4 linked regions of the Oryctolagus cuniculus genome follow. The protein of the gene in region 2 interacts with the protein of the main gene of each other region in a pairwise test. Links are inferred from orthologs where the notes say so. Each region holds a gene or a part of one and is shown on either strand. Other genes may lie near its edges.

Region 1 (5,043 bases), on a different chromosome or scaffold from region 2:
AACTAAAATTCAGAGAGATTAGAAACTTACTCATGGTCACACAGGGAACTGGTGGCAAAGCTGAGATTTGTCCAGAATCCAGAGTTTGACCAGTCCTGGATTCTGAACTACACTGCCTGAATGTTTTGTGTACAATGATATGAAGGTCACATATACCTCTTTTTAACTTCACATTAATAAACAAGTCATACTGACTTTAGAATATCAAAGCTTATCCATGCCAGGTTCAAATATCGGTTGTGAGGTGTTCAACATGGAGAGGATGATGGATGAGACCATCTCTGAGCATCGATGGGAATGATATTTGCATTATCTGTAGTGAATACTAAGATGTGAAGCGACAATTTCAAATATTGTCTCTGAAATATCACATCCTAAAGGAAATAAGAGATTTTCAAATTACTGATGAAATGTAAACTGCATGTATTCTTCCATCCCTTAAACTCCATTTGATATTTACCAGTTGACACTCTGCATACTGATTCAGAGTTGAGCTACTTAAATACAATTTAACTGTAGATGAGTCCTCCAAGCAGGCCCCAATACTGTCTCACTTATCATTTGACTAAGCTATTAATGCTGTGATGGAAGAAACAGATTATTCAGGAGAAAATATTGAATATCACTTTCAAGTTGAACATATAAAACTGGTAGAAAAATAACTTTTGGGAACTGCTTTTGAATGTTTTCTACTTGGCTTGCATTCTATATTCCTATAGAATTAAGGAGATAAATATGATAGAATGTCATTGTTTTAGGGTTGTTTTCCAGCTGTTCCCGCCGTGGGCACCAAGGACAGGACAACGATCAGTCTTCCTGGAATCCTAGAACAAAAACTCTGGCTGCAGTAATTAAACGTTTGGTGTCTTCCCTTATTCATGTTAACAGAATGTCTTCCCTTTGTGTTCTTTAGGTCCTTGCCTTGTTTAATCAATTAGGATGTCAGTCTCTCCTTTTTTCATCATTTTTCATATAGGCCTGAATCAACCTTTCTTCACCTACAGGTCATAACACATAAACCGTACACCCCTGATATACCAGCACATCTAGTGATTAGGTTGCCCTGGTTGAACTGATTCCCTTCTTTGATAACTCTGAAGATTTGTGCTTTTACTTTACTGAGAGGCAGGAAGCAATCTTGGTGATTCCCACCAGGCCGCTGTGAGGGTAGGAATGCCTCAATAACGTGAAGTGATTTCCCCTTCTTCTTGTTTCAGGTTCAATGGATCCAAATGACTTCCTGAGGGAGGCACAGATAATGAAGAGCCTAAGACATCCAAAGCTTATTCAGCTTTATGCTGTTTGCACTTTAGAAGATCCAATTTATATTATTACAGAGTTGATGAGACATGGAAGTCTGCAAGAATATCTCCAAAGTAAGCTAAATACTTAATAAAAGGGAAAAAAGGAAGAATTTAGTTTGACTAGTCCTATAAATGTCAATTTAGCAAATCTTCTATAACCCAAAGGACATTTACTGTGTGTGCTGTGAGAATGAATGTCTTAACACTGAGTGGCTCAACTACTATTTAACAGGATATGTACTGTGTCATCAAAGGCAGGAAAAATATTTATGTAGTGGAAGAGCAAATTGTTCACAGTAGAATCAGAGTACTTAAATATAATGTAGGGAATTGAAGATTTGATGTTTTGTGCTTTCTTTCCTATACTAACTAAACATTATCAGTCATGGCTAATATTTTCTGTTTCACAGAATTTGGGGACATGGAATACTTTTGGGGAAACAGAGCTAGAAGTATCTTAGGCTTTTGTTTTTCTTTTTTCTTGGCTAGTGTTTGACAGTATTGTATTTATTTGTGTTTAAAATACTTCCACTGCCAGGCAACATTAGAATTTTCAGACTAAAAAGCAGATATAGATTATTGCATTATTCTTATATCAGCTTCCTGTAGTCAGAGAAGTCTTAAGGGCATGGTGAAATTTTGATGTTTATTACAAATGAATAATTTAATAAATAATATAATAAGTATTAAAATGAGATGTTCAAAGAAGTTGAGATCAAGTACTGAGAGAATAATTCATGCTTGAGAAAGAGACTTTTGCTATAATTTCTTGAAGTGTCAGAGTGAGATTGAAAAAATGTATAGAGGTAAAAGGAGATAAGAATAATGGAACAAAGATTTCAGAAAGATAAGAGTATTCTCTGATTTTGGGGTGACTAGTGAAGCTGATAATAAGTTGCAAAGCAAGATAAGAACAAAGAACACAGTAAGGCCTGTTAAATGCTGTTAAAAACAAAAATATTCTTACTCTCTTGCATAAAGACTTCTGATTTAATAGCAGTTGAATATGTTACCCACCAAAAAAAGGCAAATGTCAACCACTGATCCCTTTTGCCTATTCCTAGGACAAAATACAGGCGTGATCGTAGGCCATCTTGTTGTGGGGTGTGGGTCTCCTGACAGGGCTTATTACAGGCTTCCTCCATGCATGAAGGAATTCAAACGTGGAGGCATAAAGTTATACAGGGGATTTGGATTTATGTAGAGCAAACAAAAGTACAAACTCAATAACTAAGGCCAGTGAGAGAGAGAGAGAGAGAGAGAGAGAGAGAAATGAACAAAGTGTAAACAGTTCCCAAAGCAAAACCCCTTACCTTGTAAAAACCTCCAACATTGAAAAAGCCCTCAGCAAAGCAACCCTCACCCTCAACAAGCTTAGGTCGATACCACCCAGAGGTATAATGGGTGATATCTGGAGTGGAGCCTATTTGAATATTGAGAAGGAGGTAGAATTTGGAGTGTGGCTTGAGTACCATCTATTTCCATGCCTGTTTTTGGAAATACTGGAAATGTCATGGCGTTAGCTATATGATGGGAGTAGAAGTGACCGCATGATAATTTCATTGTGATGACATTATGATGACCTGCAGGTAAGTATTGGGGAAGGGGGGACGTCTTGCAGCCATATTGGATAGCTCCTTTGCTCATCTTGTTCAGTCTCTTTTTAAAAACTTGTTTATGACTGATGATTCCTTAAATTTTGTTTCCCCTTTACCTCAAAATAATATATCCAACTGCCCTTTTAATGTCTGCATTTGAACATTGTATCAGTCTCAGATAATGAAGGTATACTATAGCAAATGTTCCCCAAATCTCAGGGACTTATCACATGTATTTTATTCTTCCTCATGTTATGTGTGCAAAATGCATTGGATGGTGGCTCGATTCTTTTGATCATCCTGGCTGGGAAGGGGGATGACACTAATCCAATTCTGGCTCTTAAAGCTTCTGACTAGATATGACAGAGGTAACTCGTGTGCCTTCTTCACTTGGCCAAATCAAGTAAAAGGGTGTAAGGAAGTACAGTTCTGTAAAAAAATGTTTGTGAACAGCCCTAAATTCTGATCATGTCCATTCGATATCTCAGAATGACTTATCCAAAACTGATCTCCTTGTCTTCTCCCCAGCACTGCTACTCTTGCAGTCTCTCCTTCTTTGACAATGTCAACTTTCAGGCCTAATATTTTGTAGTCATTTCTGCTTCTCATATCCCATATCTCACCAATCAGCAAATCTAATGACTTGCCTTCAAAATATATCCAGGATTTTTGCCTCTTCCCAATGTTCTTACATCCAAGCCAATATCATCTGTGTCTTGGATTCAGCAATAAGCTCCTCATTGGCGCACCTCTTTTGGTTATTGTCCTCTTTAGCATCCTTTTAACATGATGGCTTGGGAGATCCAGTTAAAATGCAAAGCAGAGCTTGTCCTTCCTTAGATGAAAACCTTCTGTGCTTGTCACTGGTTATCTCTTCTTAACTCAGTCCTCCAGGATCATTTACCTGTCCATTAGCTCTCTGACCTCAGCTCCCATACAACTTGCCCCTAGGTCACTTGGTCAGCTGCACAGGACTCTTTGCTATTCTTCTTATCCTCTAGGAATGCTTTCGTCTTAAAGTTTTTGCACTTCTATTTCCTCTGCTGCGATTATTCTAGTTTCTTATCCAGATGCTCACTTCTCATTACCTTAAAGTCTTTGATGTTTCCATCTTGGTGAATCCTTCACTGGTCACCTCACTATATTAATTCTAAAATTTAAGTCTTCTACTGAATCGTTGTATTCCTCTTATCTGCTTTTTGTTTACTCTCCTTAGCTGTTAATCAACATATTACATTCCTTATCTATTTAGCTTATTTCTCGTATCTCCTAAATATAACTCCATGAGGGCAGAGATTCCTCTTCATTTTAGTGCTAGAATAGTGTGTGACCCTAAAGATGTGTACTAATTATGTGTTGACTGATTGAATAAATAAACTGGGATCATCTTGACCTTAATATGATTGAATCTTGGGGTCAAACTTGTTTTTAGACTCTTGACATCAGCTTGAAAAGACCCAGTTAGTACACAACAACTTCCTGGGGCATTGAGGATTCCTGTGGCTTGTTGATAAGGTTTCATAGGACTGAGTACAAATTTTATCATCTTCTGGGTTAGGCCATCAGGGTCAAGTTTATCAAGGCCTTCATTTGTAAGGATATTTAACAGCCCAGATGATGTAACAGGGAAATGCTTCCTGTCAGAAATCCCTTCCCAGTCAGAGGATGTGAATTCAATAAAGTGGCCTTAAAAGGAATCTGCCACTCTTACACAGCCAATCGTGATAAATGTTATTAAATTGAAAGACTTGAGTAATAGGAAGTAATTAAAAATATTTTCTTGCTGCAAATATAAATTGTGACAGGTTTGTGAATCTCTATACCAGTTTTGATACATAGAGGTTTTATTTGAAGTATGTGCTGAGGTTTCTTAGGACACTATTCTGTTCCTAATAAGATACATGTATTACTTGATTTTCTTCAGTATTATGTCTACTCATGAAAACCTTTTTACATCCAAGATGTAAGATTAGGTGCTGTATTTGATATTTGAAATAACTACTTAATTTACTACATATCAATCTTCATAAGTTTGACTGGATTCTATTTTTTGTTATAATTTTCTCCAAAATCAGAGAAGCCAGTCAAAAAACCTTAGCATTGAGGATAATTGATGACAGATATTTATTATTGAAATTAAC
Region 2 (5,723 bases):
AGTGGAGGATGGCCCAAGTCCTTGGGTCCTGCATCCCCATGGGAGACTAGGAAGAAGCACCTGGCTCCTGGCTTCAGATCGGCGTAGCACGCCGGCCACTGCAGCCATTTGGAGGGTGAACCAATGGTAAAGGAAGATCTTTCTCTCTGTCTCTCTGTCTATAACTCTATCTGTCAAAAAAAAAAAATTTCAAGGAGATAATGGATTGGGGGAGGGGTGGGGTTGTGATCTGTATATCCAATCAGGATGAAGGAAAGGATTTCCCCATGCAACTTGGCAACAAAAGGCAGAAATCAAACATTAGGGTCATATCTAGAACTGTCCAGTTCCAACTCAACTTAAAATTTTACATAGTAGTAACTGCTGCTGGAATTGGTGCAAGCAATGACCATCTATGCTGATAGAAGAAAAATGCCAGGCAAGCCTTTTTCCACTTAAACAAAAGAGTTTCACTCTAAACATTTATGTTAAGTTTTAAATCAACAACCTATATGTTTATGAGAATTGCCAAAACATCCCCCAGAAAAAATCCTTTATGCTCATCATTGTTCCCTTCAGGGTAGGTAGCATCATCTAAGTTTTTTTTTTTTAAGATTTATTTATTTTTTTATTTGACAGGTAGAGTTATAGATAGTGAGAGAGAGAGAGAGACAGAGAGAAAGGTCTACGGCCAGTGCGCTGCACTGATCTGAAGCCAGGAGCCAGGTGTTTCTTCCCAGTCTCCCACGTGGGTGCAGGGGTCCAAACATCTGGGTCATCTTCTGCTTTCCCAGGCCATAGCAGAGAGCTGGATTGGAAGAGGAGCATCCAGGACTAGAACCGGCGCCCATATGGGATGCCAGCGCCACAGGCAGAGGATTAACCTACTGTGTCACTGCGTGGCCCTATCATATAAGTTTTTAAGAATAAAATGAAAGGCTGGGGCTGTGGCACAGCAGGTAAAACTGCCGCCTGCAGTGCTGGCACACATATCGCTGCCAGTTCGAGACCTGGCTCCACTTCTGATCCAGCTCTCTGCTATGGCCTGGGAAAGCAGCAGAAGATGGCCCAAGTCCTTGAGTCCCTGCACCCTCATGGGAGACCCGGAAGAAGCTCCCGGCTCCTGGTTTTGGATCGGACCAGCTCTGGCCAGTGCGGCCATCTGGAGAGTGAACCAGTGGATGGAAGACCTGTCTCTCTCTCTCTGCCTTTGCCTAACTGTAACTCTGCCTTTCAAATAAGTAAATAAATCTTTAAAAAAAAATAAATGAGATCTCTATGAGAAATGTTAACTCAAAATATCAGTATGCAGGGGCCGCTGTTGTGGCATAGTGTGTTAAGCTACCACTGGCATCCCCTGAGTTCTAGCTTTTGATCCAGCTCCCTGCTAATGGGCCCAGGAAAGCACCAGAAGATGGCTCAAGTGTTTAGGCCTCTGCCACCCACATGGGAGACCTACATGGAGTTCCAGGCTCCTGGCCCAGCCCCAGCTGTTGCGGCCATCTGGGGAGTGAACAAGTGGATGCAAGATCTCTCTCCCCTCTCTGACTCTGCCATTCAAATAAATAAAGAAATCTTAACAAAAAGTGATCAGTATGCAGAACATACTAGAGACCGTTAAAAAGAGCTTAACAACTGTGTGATATTACTATCACCATATCATAGTATTTTTGCTTTATATGAAGTACTCTTAACAAGACACCTTTTGATCCAATGTCAGTCAAGGTTAATATACTGGATCTGGGTCTGTGTCTTTTTTTTTTTTTTTCTAGATAGCTCTTATCCTTATCGCTCAAGCATTAATCCAGTTAGAATGAACAGTGCCCTGTCCAAAACAGTGCTTTTCACCACTTACTGACACTTGTACAACCATCATCTCATCTGCTCCAGCCGACAACTTTTGTGAGGCGCCGACACTGGTATTATTATCCCTGTTCTGTCTTATGTGAGCAAATGACACCACATCCTGGATCCCGGAGCTCCTCCACTGGCAGCTTTATACACGGTAAGTCTCATGGCCGGATCTGGTACACTTAGTTTCAAAGGTTCCGTAATGCCTGCAAGTCACAAGAACCTTCCTTGCTTGATGACAACCTAGTTCAAGTTCATGTTTGCAGAAGATATGTCATACTTTCTAAGCCCAACTTCAGGCTGCAGGAGGAAAGATGATCAAGACCAGGAACGCAGTTTACAAAATAAGAGCTAAGGAGAAAACGTGCAAGATGACTCAGAAACTACTAGTCAGAACGTTAACTTCACTAGGTAACTTCCATTAAAATTCTGGCGAAATGTAGCCATTTACAAATTACAAAATTTCTTCTACAACTGCAGAAGCTCTCATAAAACATCAGAAAAAGGAGACATTTTACTGAAAGTAAAAAATCAAGCAGTACTTAAGTTAGACTCCCCCGTTTAAAAAAAAAAAAAAAAGGCAAGGATGGAAAAAGCACCACTATAATGCACTCACTTCACTCAACCAACTGGGAGGCACTGGGACTACCTTAATGAACACAGAAAAGCTGTCTGCGCAGAGCCCCCCCAGACAGACGAGGTCAGTTTCAAAGCAACGTATTAAAGATCGAAACACATTTCTGATTTAACACGGGTTGATCAAGTAGCTTAGCTCTCCAGGGGCAGCGGACGCACCCAGGACATCAAACCCTTTCTCGCCAGGTACTTAACAGGCCGTGTCTGTAAACACGGAGGGACGCAGCTTTTCACGCACACACCCGGTATTTGGCCGAGCTCGCCCGGGGCCGTCTATAAAGCCCTGTTTGCTGTTTCCGTGCCTAACCCCCGAAGGTACGCGGCACGCCACACAAGTCCAAGTTTCCTTTGTTCTGCAACAGGACAGACTCAGACCACCAGTACGGAACCAACGCGGCCCGTCACCGCGCCCAGACCCCGGGTGGAGGGAGGAGCAGACACGGGGGAAGGTTCCATCCCCGGCACAAGCAACAAAAACGGAAAAGCGACGGAGCTGGGGGTGCAAGGCTGGCAAACGCACACAAGGAGCCGAGCCAAGGGCGGGGACCTGAGCCGGGCGGGGAGCCGGAAGGCGCCTCCCAAGCAGGTTCGAGCGCACCCCGAACAACGGAAAACGCCCTGGGCCTCCGCTCCGCAGCAGCCGGCCTTGGGCAAGCGCCCCTTCAGACGTGCGCCCCCAGCCCAGTTCCCGGCGCCCGGACTCGCCGTGCTGAGCCCTCCCAGGCCGCACTCACCCCGGAGGAAGCCTTGGCCTCCTCGTCCTCTTCTACCCTCCAGGCCGGCGACGTGGTGCTGACTGCCAGGTCGCAGAAGACGGCGCCGAGAGGAGCCCGCTCCTCTCGGTCAGCGGTGCACAACCCAGCCTAGTCCCCGGCCGCAGCCCCAGCGGCAGCTGCAGCGGCAGCAGTTGACCCGGACGCAAAAAGCAGCCCGGGCGGAAGTGACAGCATCCTGACCCTTTCTAGGCTCTGCGGGAGGCGGGGGCGGGGCCGGGGCGTGGGGGGGCGCGGCCGGGGCGTGGGGGCGTGGCTTCCTAGTCAAACCCACAGCTTTGCTCCCTCCTCCGCTGTCCCGGGCTAATACCTGCGCGTGCGCACTTGCGGCAACTGGAGCAGCCCTTGGCTTTTGGGTCTCTACTCTCTTTTTTCCGCTTTTCCCTGCGGTGAGGACGCCTGCGAACTCAGGGTCATTGCTATTTTTCTTCTGCTTGTTTTTACTATCGCTACAGTGCCTGTGTTGTATAAAGTAAATGACCCGAGGGGAGGAAATATATGCGAAGCTTACTTTCAGGCATGTAGATCTCAAGGCAGTCTCATTTAGGGGCTGCTGTTGTGGTTCTGATCGCAGGTTCGAGTCCCAGCTGCTCCACTTCTGATCCAGCTCCCTGCTAATGCACCTGGGAAAGCAGTAGAAGATGGCCCAAGTGCTTGAGCCCCTGCACCCACTTGGGGGCCTGGATGAAGCTCCTGGCTCCAGCGGACTATTGCCAGCGGATGGAAGATGTTCTCTCTCTCCTTGTCTCTGTTAACTTTGACTTTCCAAATAAATAAACAAATAAGCGTTCGGCAAAACTTTCTCTGTAAAGATTTACTTCTTTAATTGAATGGTAGAGTTAGAAAGAGAGGGAGAAACATCGATCTTCCATCCCTGGTTCACTCTCCAAATGGCCCAAGTGCTGAGGCTGGGGCTGGGACTGGGGCTGGGCCAGACCCAAGGCCAGAGGCCAGGAACTCCATCCGGGTCTTCCACTTAGGTGCCCCAGGCCCAGGCACTACCACCATCCCCCATTGCTTGCCCAGGCACCTTAGCAGGAAGCTGGATGGGAAGTGGAGCAGCTGGGACCTGAACAGGCTTAACCTGTTTGGCCACCAAGTTGATCCCAAATCCTCTTTATTTTGAACAGCTTTAGAGCAGTGTTTCTCAAACTATCTCTGGAGTGCCATCAGTTTATTATCATTTTAAAAATTTCTGGCCGGTGCCGTGGCTCACTTGGCTAATCCTCCACCTGCGGCACCAGCACACCAGGTTCTAGTCCCAGTGGTGCACACCAAGTTCTAGTCCCAGTGGGGTGCTGGATTCTGTCCCGGTCGCTCCTCTTCCTGTCCAGCTCTCTGCTGTGGCCCGGGAAGGCAGTGGAGGATGGCCCAAGTGCTTGGACCCTGCACCTGCATGGGAGACCAGGAGAAGCACCTGGCTCCTGCCATTGGATCAGCGCGGTGCACCAGCCGCAGCAGCCATTGTGGGGTGAACCAATGGAAAAAAGGAAGACCTTTCCCTCTCTCTCTCTCTGTCACTCTGCCTGTCAAAAAAATTTTTTTTCCAATTGTGAATCATATTTTAATAAAATATAAATGAAATGAAAAAAGGTCTATGAACTCCAAATGAAAATATTTTTATTACAGTCACCAGCTGTAGCATTTCTTGTAAAATTGCTCTATGGATTTCTAAACTCTGCACCTTAATTTCTGCACTTGCCTCTCTGTAGGCCAGTAACAATCCTGAGGGGATGAGGTCTGTGGACTGTATTTTGAGTAGCAATTCTGCTCTACAGATTTAGAAAGAAAATGAACTTAAGGGCCAGCATTGTGGCATAGCAGGTAAAGCTACCCACCACCTGCAGTGCCAGCCTCCCATATGGTTCGAGTCCTGGCTGCTCCACTTCCCTTCCAGCTTCCTGCTAATGGTCTGGGAAGAGCAGCAAAGGATGGCTCAAATGTTTGCGGCTCTGCCAACCACATGGGAGATCCAGATGAAGCTCCTGGCTCCTGGCTTCCACCCAGCTCAGCCCTGGCCATTGCGGCCAATCTGGGGAATGAACCAGCGGATGGACGATCTCTCTCTTTCTCCCTCTAACTGTGCCTTTCAAATAAGCAAACATATAAATAAATCTTTTAAGCAAAAAGTAGACTAATGTGGACAATATCATAATCCCTCTTAGAAGCGTCATCCACTGCACAAAGACTCAGCTGTTTGAGTAATTCCATAAGGAATGATCAAGCCTCAAGCGAGCAGGAAAGCTCAGGAACTAAAATCATTGACCCAAAATGTAGCCCTTGGGGGCAGCTACAGCCTTGCTTTGGTAACATTTACTCACGATTGACAGATGGTTAAGCTCTCCATGCCTTGTCTACAAAATGGGGGAGGAGGGGGGCATGGGAGCAATACCTACCTCATAGGGTATTGGTGAGGTGAGCTTGTATGTAAAATCAGTGCTTGGCATATTGTGATTGTGTGTAAGTGTTGGGTATTATTTTCTT
Region 3 (5,742 bases), on a different chromosome or scaffold from region 2:
CACCCTCAGTGTCGGCACTGGACGGCATGTCACAGAGCTGCCCCACCCACAGCAGTGCCACCGGCTGTCAGTTTGGCAGTGGTGGTACAGGGAGCTTCAGAAAGGCCTGAACTCCCACCTTAAGTAGCTCAAGTCAGGGAACAGACCTGGCTCAAACGGAGATAGCTGGGCCCCTGCAGAACCAAGAAACTAACTCCTGCTGCATTTTCATTTTTTTAAGATGTATTTATTTATTTGAAAGAGTTACAGAGAGGGAGGAGGAGGGGGAGGGGGAGGGGGAGGGGGAGGGGGAGGGGGAGGGGGAGGGGGAGAGGGAGAGGGAGAGGGAGAGGGAGAGGGAGAGGGAGAGGGAGAGGGAGAGGGAGAGGGAGAGGGAGAGGGAGAGGGAGAGGGAGAGGGAGAGGGAGAGGGAGAGGGAGAGGGAGAGGGAGAGGGAGAGGGAGAGAGAGAGGGAGAGGGGTCTTCCATCCACCGGTTCACTCCCCAGATGGCCACAACAGCTGGAGCTGAGGTGATCTGAAGCCCGGAGCCAGGAGCTTCTTCCAGGTCTCCCACGCAGGTACAGGGGCCCAAGGACTTGGGCCACCTTCTACTGCTTTCCCAGGCCACAGCAGAGAGCTGGATCAGAAGTGGAGCAGCCGGGACGAGAACCGGTGCCCACATGGGAAGCTGGCATGGCTTTACCCACTACGCACAGCGCCGCCCCCCCCCCCCGCTTCATCTTTTTAAAAGATTTATTTATTTGTTTGGTTGTTTTTTATTTGTTTATATGAAAGAGCAACAAAGAGTTCCCACCTTCTGCTTCACTCCCCAAATGTCCACAACAGCTGAGGCTGGCCCAGACCCCAGCTCCATCCACGCCTCCCACACATCTGCTGCCTTCCCAGGATGCATCAGCAGGAACTGGACGCCCGAGCGGAGCTTCACTCACAGCCCGCACAACCGCCCTACCGGCTGCTTTCAATCTGCACCGCAACTCAGCCGGAAGTCCCGTTCATCCTTTAAAAGTGGAGGCAGTACGCCAGGGACACTCAAAGCAGACCAAGTCCCTCCATCTGCCTCCAAAAGTCAGTTAAGGCGAAGTAAACTGTAACTCCCTGTTGACCCGAGACGGGGAGCAGAATGACACAGCAGGGCTGCAGGAGACAGCCAGCCTCCTGGGGAATTCTAAGGGAACCTGAGTCATTAGCAACTGCCACCACCTAACCCAGCTGAGCTCTCCTCAGCCCTTCCGGCCGCCTAGCCACTCTGAACGCGACCCCTTCCCCTTCCCCTGGCTCCCAAGGGCCTCTCCACACGGCTGGACGTCGGGACGCCACTGGCCTCTCACAGCAGGATACAGCCTCTCCAGTCCCGACCTCCAGCCCACCTGTGTCCGGACCCCTCCCAACCGCCGACTGGGCCGCCTGGGGTCCCACAAGCGCCTGGGATCTAAGGCATCCAAAACCAAACTTGCTTCCGTCCTGTTCCCATTGCCCGTCTTGGTGGGAAGTGAGCCGCGCAAGCCAGAGAGGAGGAAGCCGCTGGAGACGCAGGCCTTCAGCATGGATGAGGCGCGCGGCACTGCCGCTGAGCGGGCCGACAGAACCCGCCCTGCGGCCGCCACCAGGTGACGGTGTTTAGACAGAGGGAGGCTGGGGGGGTCGGGCGGGGCAGGTGCCCTGGAGGCCCCCGAGCCTGGGCACAAGAGGCGGCAGAGGAGGTGGGGTGCTGGGGGACACTGGGCAACCTCGGCGGAGGGCCGCGCCATCTGCCCGGGGTTCTCACGGGGCTGCTCGGCCTGCACCCCAGGGCAGGTCACTGTGACCCCTGCAATCCTCGCTAATCCGGCCGCCCCCACCCGGCTCCCGGGCCAGCTGCCCCCGCACAGCCGCTGGGCTCAGCCGCGGAGCGTCTCCCCACCACTGCCATGAGGAGTCGGGGTGCTGCCCAGGCCAGGCGGCCTGCTGCTGGTGGACACCGCCGCCGGGGGCTGCCCGTCGGCGCAGCACCTGCTCCGTCCAGCTTGCACAATCCTCACTGCCCGGCACCTGCTCTGTGGAGGCGCTGACCGCTTCCTCACCGCGAAGCGCCGGCCTGACACCCACCCACCCACTGAGGACGCTGCCAGCCTGCGCCACGCCTGCGTTTCATTCAGCTCTGCCCTGTCCTGCCTCGTCTATTCTCCAGCCCTCACGGAGAGTGACAGGGCCTTCCCTCTCCAGTGCGACGAAGCACCGCAAGAACGTAAAATCTGAACCGCAGCTTCTGTCGCCGGGCGCCCCTGCCCCTGGGGGCCCTCGGCCCTCGGCCCTGCAGGGGCTGCGGCCAGGCGCCCCGGCCTCCCCGCCCCGCCGGCTGCCAGGCGCGGCTGCACCGGGAGGCTGCGCTACCCACACCCACACCCACACCCACACCCAATTCCACACCACCCGAGACGCCGAGTCCGCGCGGCCGTGCATTCTCACAAGCCCCGGCCCTCCGCCCACCGGGCCGAGCGCTCCGCCTGCGCCTCCGGTGCCCGCACCTCAAAGGGCGTCGTCCTCCCAGCCCACCCGCCCGGACGCCGGCTCCGCCCGCTCTGCCGGTCCACACCGACGGCGGGGCCGGCTCCCCCGTCAGGCCCGCCGCGGCGCTCCGAGGGGCTGACAGCGCTCGCCGGGGCGGTGCCGGGCGGGCGGGGGCGGAAGGCAGCGCCGGCTCGGACAAAGCGCCGGCCGCGCCGCCCCCGCCCGCGGGCTCGGACCCCGCCGGGGATGCGGGGCGGGGCCGGGAGGCAGGGCCGGGGATGCGCGGCCGGCGCGCGGCGACCCGACCCTGCGGGGCCCCGGGCGCGGCCGGGCCGGGCCGGGCCGGGCCGGGCACTCACCGTCCCGCTCGCCGCCGTGCGCTCTCGCGCTGTCAGCTCGGGGAGCGGCCTCGGCCGCCTCAGGCGCGGGTCACGGGGAAGGGGCGCCGGCGCAGCGGCCGCCACGCATCCCCGGCCCGGCGCTGGGCTCTGCACCGCCGGCGCCGCCCGACGCCTCCCTCCTCGCAGCTTCGCCCCGGCCGCGCGCTCCGCCGCCGCCGCCGCCGCCGCCGCCGCCGAAAATGGCGACTCCGCGTCGCGCCCGCCCACAATGCCGCGCGCCCGCGTGACGTCACTCGCGCCTCCCCGGGAGCGGCCGCGGGCGGGGGTCGGGGGCCGCGCGCCGGCTCCGTGCGCCCCCGAGCGCGCCCCGAGGCGCTCACGCCCCCCGGCGCGGACGCCGCCCCGCCCGCCCCCCGGGTGCGGGCCGGGCCCGCAGGGCGGTGCCCGCGGCCGCCGCATCCCCGCTGCGGCCTGACTCAGCAGCCGGCCGAGGGCGCCGCTGACTCAGGGGCCGGCGCGGGGCCGCGCCCTCGGCGCTGTGGTCGGCCCGCGCCCGAGCCGGTGCGGCCCCGCGCGCGGGGGTCACGGCGGCCGGGCGTCCCCCTGCTCGCGCCCTGCGCCCCGGCTCGGCACCCCCCGAGGACCCCCGGCGGCCCCGCACCGCTCCCTGGGTACCTCTGACCCATGCCAGTGCCCCCGCGGCTCCCTCCGTCACTGAGGGTTAGGGCGAGGCCACGCCGACGGGCAGCACCGGCAAGGTCCCCGGGCAGAGACAGTCCTCCGGCAGGAGGGACCCGGCGGCGCCGGGCAGGGGAGAGGCGGACGCGTCCGTGGCGCCCACCGCTCCCGCGTCCTGACTGCCGTCAGGTTCAGACTCCTCAGCTTGGCCTGCAGGGCCCCAGGACCGGGGCTGCCACCCTCCCCTGCCCCTGGGTTCGCTCCGCTGTCCATGCTATCCACTCTGCCTAAAATGCCCCTCTCCCCCAGCCACTCCGAGACTCAGCCACGAGGCACCTCCTCCAGGAAGCCTTCCCCGCCTGCACCAGCCTCCCGTGCTCTGTGTGGTCAGCCTAGGGCACTGGGGCAGGGAGGGCCTGCGTCCCCTCAGCCCCTGACCCGGCTCTCCTTGGCCTCACCCCTCCCCTCGCGGGGAATGAGGAAGGGTCGGTTCTCAGATCACCGTGCAGCCACAGGAGCCCCGTCGCCTCACGGCGTCGGGACTGCACACTCGGTCACCACCCGTCGGGTCTGCAGCCGGGTTACAGCAGACCGTCAGCTCCGCCAGTCCTGCTGCCAAAGGTTTTCCCCAGCCTGCACGGGGAAGGGGCGTGGGAGGCAAGTGCACGGTCCCTTCTCAAAGGTACCGCATCCAGGCAGGGCAGGCTCCCCGCAGATCCTGGGCCGGCCGGGCTCTCGGTCCGCGTCCGCCCCAGGGGGTGCTGGCTGCTGCTTGAGGCCAGGCTGGTGCTGCACAGTATCTCTGACGCTGACCCATCCCTCGGACAGCAGGTGCGGCCACACCCGCTCACACACAGCAGGCGCGGCCACACCCGCAGGGCTCACACACGAGACGGGTGTTAGCGCGGCAAGGCTGGCTCCTGGCGGGGACAGGGGCTGACCTGGGACAGCAAACGGCCGGCTTCTGAGACAGGAGAAACCCAGAGGGCGGGAGACGGCTGGGAAGGGCGTGGGCCGTGAACCTGTGGGTGCTCGGCCAATGAGAGGGGAGGGCGGGACTTGTGCACCAGGTGTGTGTGAACCTGTGGGTGCTCGGCCAATGAGGAGAGGGGGGAGGGACTTGCGCACCAGGTGTGTGTGAACCTGTGAGTCCTCGGCCAATGAGGTGAGGGGGGAGGGACTTGTGCATCAGGGTGTGTGAACTTTTCAATCCTCGGCCAGTGAGGAGAGGGGGGAGGGACTTGTGTGCAGGTGTGTGTGCCTCGTTCCCTGTTCTGAGTGTGCTGTCCCCAGACACCCGCCCTTGCCAGGCTGTGAACAGAGCCTGGCTTTTCTCTGACCTGTGTGTCAGAGTCCATCCTTCCAGGCCGGGTGGTCTCTGGTGGGCTTATTTCCCACCCCCGTGAGTCTGATTTCCGTCAAGATCCTCAGGAGTTCTGCTCAGCCCTGGAGCCATCAGCAGGCAGCCTGGGCCCCCGGGGCGCTGCCCTGGATCAAAATGTGGGTGCTGTGCCCCACGCCCTGAGCACCCGGCAGCTCCAGCGGGGACCTCAGGAAGCCCACCTGGCGGCGGCACCAGGGCGCGGCGGTCTCCAGGTCATCCTGTCCTGGGGTTTCACTCCGAGATGCTGAGTCCCCTCTGGTCCTGTGCTGCCCACACCTGTCCCTGACTGACAGACGGCACTGCCGTCCTGGGGTTTCCTTGCTGGCCCTGGAGAGGCACTGTCACGCAGGCTGGAGTGGAGGGAGCCCCTCCGTGCCTCCTGTGCGGGTGCTAACTCAGCCAGGGCCCAGGTCCGAGAGGCCTCCGCCTTTGTCGGGGGGACCTAGAGAGCAGGACCCCGGGGCTCCCCGGGTGGAACCTGAATCACCTGTTCATTCAAGTGCCAACGGCACTGAGCAGCCCTGCGGCCAGCAGAGAGCTGGACAAGCAGCCAGGGTCCAGGGACCCTTTGCCAGATGGAAGAGCACTTCCAAGGGAGCCGGGAGAGAGCTGCTCCCCGCTCGGCTGTCGCTATAGGAGCCCCTGGTCCTGCCGTGCAGGGCAGGCCCTGACCCGGGTCCCTCGCCCTCCTCGCCGGCTGTTTCTCCTTTTTCCTTTCCCAAATGGACATACTTTGTCCTCTGCACTCACCGACGTCCAAACCCTTCCCACCTCCGACCCTTCCCTGCCCCGCTCAGCATCCTGGGGAGATGGGCAGGCAGCCTGGGACGCTAAGCAGAGCCTGGGCTGG
Region 4 (5,565 bases), on a different chromosome or scaffold from region 2:
TGTGCGCTCGCACCGGGGCTCCGCTGAGCACGCGGCTTTGCTTGCAGTCAGTAGTTTTGCTGGCCCGGTGCTTTATTTGTCAAAGCTTCGCAGATTAAAATGGTTACGCACGTGCAACAACGCGTGTGTCCCCTCGCCCTTCTCTCCTGGGGGCTCTCCACGAGGACGCATTTGTAAACGTGTCTGCTTGTCCATGCGCGCGCGCGCGCGGCCGTCGCCCGTCAGGTGCTGCCCTGAATGGCAAAGGTGCAGAGAAAGCCCTGCACGCCGCCCCGCGCCCGGTGCTAACGCAGGGCGAAAAGTGCTCCGGGGAGAGGGCACCCCACCCTCCTCCCGGCCCGTTCAGGTGGCGTCCGGCCTTGGCCTCCGAGCCGGAGTCCAGCCGGTGACCGGCTGCCGTGCGTGAGCGCCTAAGCCCTGCATGGACGCCCGGGAGGCGAGAGGGAAGTAAACACGACTTTCTCAGGGTGGTCTCACGGCTGGGGGTTGGCGAGGGCCGGCGAGGGCCGCGGGCTCCCCACGGCGCTGACCTGCGCGCGATGTGCGTGGCCCCGCACCCTCTCCACACACACACACACACGCCCGGCCCGGAAGGTCCACGCGGCTGCCGGCGCCTCTGCAGCCCTTGTTTTCATGGCGTAGCTCCGGCCCGGCCCGGCCGCGTGCGGCCAGCCCGGCGCCCGTGGCCCACCGGCGGGCCCCGGCGACCCCCGAGCGCAGGCCGAGCCCGCCGCAGGCCCGGGGAGGCCCCTGGCACACCTACCGCGCCGCGGCCGCGCCACCCACCGGCCGGGCCCCGCGGGCGGCCGGCCCGGGCGCGCCCTCCCCAGCCGCGGCCCCGCGCGCCATGTGTGCCCGGCGGGCCCCGGCCGGCCGCGGCGCCTTTAACCGGGGAAGGGGAGCGGGGCGGAGGGGGGGGCCGTCGGGCGGCTCAGAGGAGGGCTCTTTCTTTCTTCTTTTTTTGAATGAACAGTGACGTACGTACAGGAAACCAGTCGGTTTGTGAGGAGAATGAAGTCAGCGGCCAGGCCCCCGCCCGCCCCCTTCCTCCCCGCCCCCGCCCCTCCTCCGCGCGCCGCGCGCCCGCCCGCCGGCCCGCCCGCCCGCCGCTCCCGGGGTCCCCGCCGCGCCGCCGCCGCCGCCCGCGAAGGTGCCCGGGCGCCGGGCCCCCCGCCAGCGGCCGTCAGAGCGCGGAGCTGCCGCACGGCGCGACCGGAGGAGGCGGCGGCCGCCGCCGCCAGCGCCCCGGCGCGGGAGCGGGCGGAGCAGAAAGGGTGCGCAGCCCGGAGGCGGGTGCGCCGGCGGGTGCAGCGGAAGAGGGGTCCAGGGGGGCGAACTTCGTAGCAGTCATCCTTTTTAGGAAAAAGAGGGAAAAAAAAAATAAAACCCTCCCCCGCTCCCCACCCTGGCCGCACCACACACGGCGCGGGCTCCTCGCGAGGCCGGCGCGTCCTGCCTTCATTGATCCGCAGCTTTTCGGAAAACGCGTCGGCTGCTCTCGGAGTTGAATCAGAAGAGGACCCCGCGCCGGCCGGGCCCCGTCGGCGTCCGGGGCAGAGTCCGCGCCGTGCCCGCGCGGCGCGCGCGCCTGTCAGTGGCCGAGGGGAGCCCGGACGGAGCGCGCTCCGGAGCTCGGGGCCGGATTCCTGCGGATTGACGTTTCTGAGGAGCAGAAACCCGGGGGCCAGCCTGGAGACCCCCCCGCCCCGGGGTGCCTACACCCGCGCCCGCCGCCTCCCGATTCATTCGGAAGTTTCCAAGCGGCTCTCACCCGGGAGCTCCGAAGATTGATGGGATCCTTGCCTTATGCGTTTGTTTTGGTTTTGCAGAGAAGGAAACTGGACAGAGGGTCATGCTGTCCTTTAAAAACACAAGTAAGTTCTTTGCGCAGCAGATCGGGCTCGCGTAACTTTCGGTGGCGGCACTCGAGATGCTAACTCGGAGTGCCTTCGAGTAAATGTGAATTTTCAGGCAGTTGAATGCGTTGTTTTTAGCCGTGTGGCCCGCAGCGTGCATGCCCCCGCTTTCTCTCCGTGTGTGCCGGAGAACGCACCTGAGTTTGGCTTAACCAGGTTTTGTTTTTGTTTGTTTGCCTTTTTTTTTTTTCCAACCTTCTAGCATCACGTAGGGAAAAGACTGGCGTTCACCACGCTTATGAATGATAACGTGCCTCGTGAAACAGAGATCCGAAAGGGATTTGAGTAAAAATCTCCTGCGCCTGCTGCCAACGGGGAAACACCAGAAGCGAGGGCTCCGCGTGACTGAAGACACCCCCGCGCCCGAGGATGCGGCGCGCGCCCGGGAACCCCGCCGGCTTCTGAGCGGGCCCGTGCGGCGGGACGCGGCCGGAGGCACCGCGGGCGCCCAAGGGCAGCATGGCGCACGCCGGGCGAACAGGGTACGACAACCGGGAGATCGTGATGAAGTACATCCACTATAAGCTGTCCCAGAGGGGCTACGAGTGGGACGCTGGGGACGCGGGCGCCGCCTCCGCGCCGGGCGTCTTCTCCTCCCAGCCCGCGCCCGCTGCGCCCCGGGACCCGGCCGCCAGGACCTCGCCGCCGCCGCCGCCGGCCGCCGCGGGGCCCGCGCTCAGCCCGGTGCCACCTGTGGTCCACCTGACCCTCCGCCAGGCGGGCGACGACTTCTCCCGGCGCTACCGCCGCGACTTCGCGGAGATGTCCAGCCAGCTGCACCTGACGCCCTTCACCGCGAGGGGGCGCTTTGCCACGGTGGTGGAGGAGCTCTTCAGGGATGGGGTGAACTGGGGGAGGATTGTGGCCTTCTTTGAGTTCGGTGGGGTCATGTGTGTGGAGAGCGTCAACCGGGAGATGTCGCCCCTGGTGGACAACATCGCCCTGTGGATGACTGAGTACCTGAACCGGCACCTGCACACCTGGATCCAGGATAATGGAGGCTGGGTAGGTGCCTGTCTGGTTGCACGTGAGTCTGGGCTTGCGGTCGCAGGTCCGAGATGCCGTGGCGAGGGTGTGGGTGGACCCCGGGGGCCGGGGCAGACTGCAGAGCCCGTGAGCTAACAGCAGGTGTGTCACTTTCCCTGCTTTCCCTCCAGCGCGCCCTGCAGGAAGCGCACCCTGCCCTCCCAGCTAGGGCAACTGCTTCCCGCCAAAAGTGGTGTGCCAGCCCTGGAGGCTCCCAGATGCTGCCTTTGCGGCCCAGTAGGATTTTGTGATGCATGGTCCTGCCTTCCCGTGCTTCTCAAACTGGGGCTGCGGAGTCCCCAGCACCACAGTTACGTGGCCTGGGTAGTTGAAATCGCAGGTTTCAGGGACTTGGTGTGGACCAGACACACCGCGCATCCCACGACCACCACCACCCCAGGGCGAGGCCCTGGCAGTCTGCATCCTAAACAGGCTCCCCTGGTGGATTTGTCTTTGTCCTAAAAGTTGTAAGCCACCCCATCGAAGAACAGACTCCCCCAGAGGACCAAGAACATGTTTGCCTCACTGGGTAAAAACTGCCCCAGAGGAAGCCCAGTGTAACCCCTTTCCCTGAAGGTCTTAGCTGTGTTTGTGAAGAGGTAAGTGGACGTAGGGAGAGCCGGGGGAGTGTTCACCTGCTGGTCGGGCCGTGACCCAGTGGACACGATGGTGTGCATTGAAGGGCAGCAGTCTGTGGATGCGCTGCGTCCTCTTGTCAGTGATGGGGTTTGGATTGGCTGCAGACTTTGTGTGCTGTCCCTTGTGTCGCATTTAGAAGTTTCCTGGAGTTTTACCATCTCTTACATTTTACCACCTAGACGCCACATGATTTTGTGGTCTCTGCTTACATACACCACACACACTCACAGAGAAACTTGCACCTAGGGAAACTATGTAAAGCGTAGAAGAATTGATCTTTAGCTGTGGATTCTTTCATGCGCTGACCAGGGTTGAAGTGATGAGCAGCTGTGACTTTTAAGAACCTTGGTAAGACGCTTTTTCTCCCGCTCCGGGGCGGTTGCTAGATAGAGCTTCGATCCTGTTCACCACGCAGTTGTATTTTTCCATGATGCTCTGGGACTGGGGTGCGGATCCCAAGACTCAACGGTGCTTAATTAAGATTTCCATCTCTTACCTAAAAGGATTAATTTATGAGAAAGTAATCATTCTTGTCTGGAGTTTTGTTAAACTTTGTTTTTAGTCTGAAGAGTTATCTTGGAAGAAGGATGCATTTCTGTGAGCTCTTCTATAGTCTCTTAGGAGAATGACTCACATTATAGAACCTAATGGGATCCAAAAGCCTAGACGTGACTGCAAGAAGCACATTTCTTCATTTTTGCTCCATTTTTCAAAGTATGCTAATATTAAGGGGCCAAAAAGAGACGGGGCCAAGAAATGTAGGTGATTGATGTGGACATCTGATATTATTTGACCAAAGTTGACAAAATATTGATGCCACTGTTCAATGTTTGAATGTAAAATTAACTAAAATATCCCAATTTAAATCTCTAAAATTTAATGACTCTTTATGGATTGTTTGTTGAAATCCCACATTATCAGGTCTTTAGTGATTCTGGAGTAATTTGCTAAAGGATGAAAAGAATATTTTTGTTAAGTGTTTAGTTAAGCAGCTGGTTTGATTTTTAATCACCATAACCAAAGAGGAAGGGACTTGTAGACTCCGCAAGGATCATTCTAAAACCAAAGTAAAACTGATTTAATAGGTCTCCTGGTTCCTATTTTTCATAAAAAAAAAAAAGAAATCCATATTAAAAAAAAAGTTCTGTCTAGTTGAAAGAAATCCATGGTGGAAACCGCCATGTATCAAGCAAGTTAATAAAGTGGTAGGAAACAGACACATGTTTATGATGGAGATTAAGATAGAACCTTGATGTTTGTTGTTGAGCTGCAGTATGTTAATGTCTCATACAACTGAGGTTTCCTTTTAAATGAGGGCTCACTTTTTCTTCCTTTCACAATAGAGTTTTCGTTGTAGAGCCTATCTTTGTGGTCAACAGGTATCTGAGGTCGATAAATGCACAAGCTACATTTTATGATGCCAAACCACAATGACATTCTGTAGCACATGATAAAAATTTTTTGACAAAACCTCTTACAGTAAAAATAAATCATATAGAAGCACAAATGGCTGATGGTAAAATGTGTAATAGTTTTCAGAGCAACACGTAGATGGATGACTACAGGAAAACAAAGGAATTTGGCAACAAAAAAGAGTATAAATCAGGAAATGCAAACATATGTGGATACTCTGGAATAATAAAAGTGGTAGTATTTGAGAGTTATACATGATTTGCCTATCATTTCAAATGTGTATTATTAATCTAAATTTTTATTTTAAACATTTGGCTTTCAGAAAGACAGGTTTTCCTTACAGTTCACAAAGTCAGGGTTGCATCTCAGACTGTAAAGAAGTCTTAGTGACAATGGTAAAGTTTCACAGAACTAACTTATTTTCTTGACCTGCAGAAATGATTGGCACTGTTGCCAGGGGTCAGTGGATCAGTCAGCCCAACTGCTAAATACCGCACCCAACACTCCAGGCTTCAGACTTGGAGCCACTTTTTCTTCTTTGCTGCTGCAAAATCAGAACCTTCTAAGGCTG

The links.
Region 1: the proteins of BNIP2 (region 2) and FRK interact in binary tests that used the Homo sapiens proteins (3 or more experiments, as listed by UniProt). The two-hybrid records come from large-scale screens. The link is inferred for Oryctolagus cuniculus from reciprocal best matches to the Homo sapiens genes BNIP2 and FRK.
Region 3: the proteins of BNIP2 (region 2) and KLC1 interact in binary tests that used the Homo sapiens proteins (3 or more experiments, as listed by UniProt). The two-hybrid records come from large-scale screens. The link is inferred for Oryctolagus cuniculus from reciprocal best matches to the Homo sapiens genes BNIP2 and KLC1.
Region 4: the proteins of BNIP2 (region 2) and BCL2 interact in a two-hybrid assay, tested with the Homo sapiens proteins (3 studies listed by BioGRID and IntAct). The link is inferred for Oryctolagus cuniculus from reciprocal best matches to the Homo sapiens genes BNIP2 and BCL2.

What each region holds. Positions count from the first base shown.
Region 1 is NC_091436.1:55,211,005-55,216,047, forward strand, and holds part of FRK (tyrosine-protein kinase FRK), read left to right. Parts: intron 1-1,217; coding exon 1,218-1,376; intron 1,377-5,043. UniProt on the Homo sapiens protein: Non-receptor tyrosine-protein kinase that negatively regulates cell proliferation.
Region 2 is NC_091443.1:82,562,692-82,568,414, forward strand, and holds the start of BNIP2 (BCL2/adenovirus E1B 19 kDa protein-interacting protein 2), read right to left. Parts: upstream 3,429-5,723; 5' UTR 3,201-3,428; intron 1-3,200.
Region 3 is NC_091451.1:46,418,977-46,424,718, reverse strand, and holds the start of KLC1 (kinesin light chain 1), read right to left. Parts: upstream 3,716-5,742; 5' UTR 3,517-3,715; coding exon 3,506-3,516; intron 3,066-3,505; exon of another isoform or gene 2,849-3,065; intron 1-2,848. UniProt on the Homo sapiens protein: Kinesin is a microtubule-associated force-producing protein that may play a role in organelle transport. The light chain may function in coupling of cargo to the heavy chain or in the modulation of its ATPase activity.
Region 4 is NC_091441.1:15,290,401-15,295,965, forward strand, and holds the start of BCL2 (apoptosis regulator Bcl-2), read left to right. Parts: upstream 1-2,238; 5' UTR 2,239-2,375; coding exon 2,376-2,921; intron 2,922-5,565. UniProt on the Homo sapiens protein: Suppresses apoptosis in a variety of cell systems including factor-dependent lymphohematopoietic and neural cells. Regulates cell death by controlling the mitochondrial membrane permeability. Appears to function in a feedback loop system with caspases.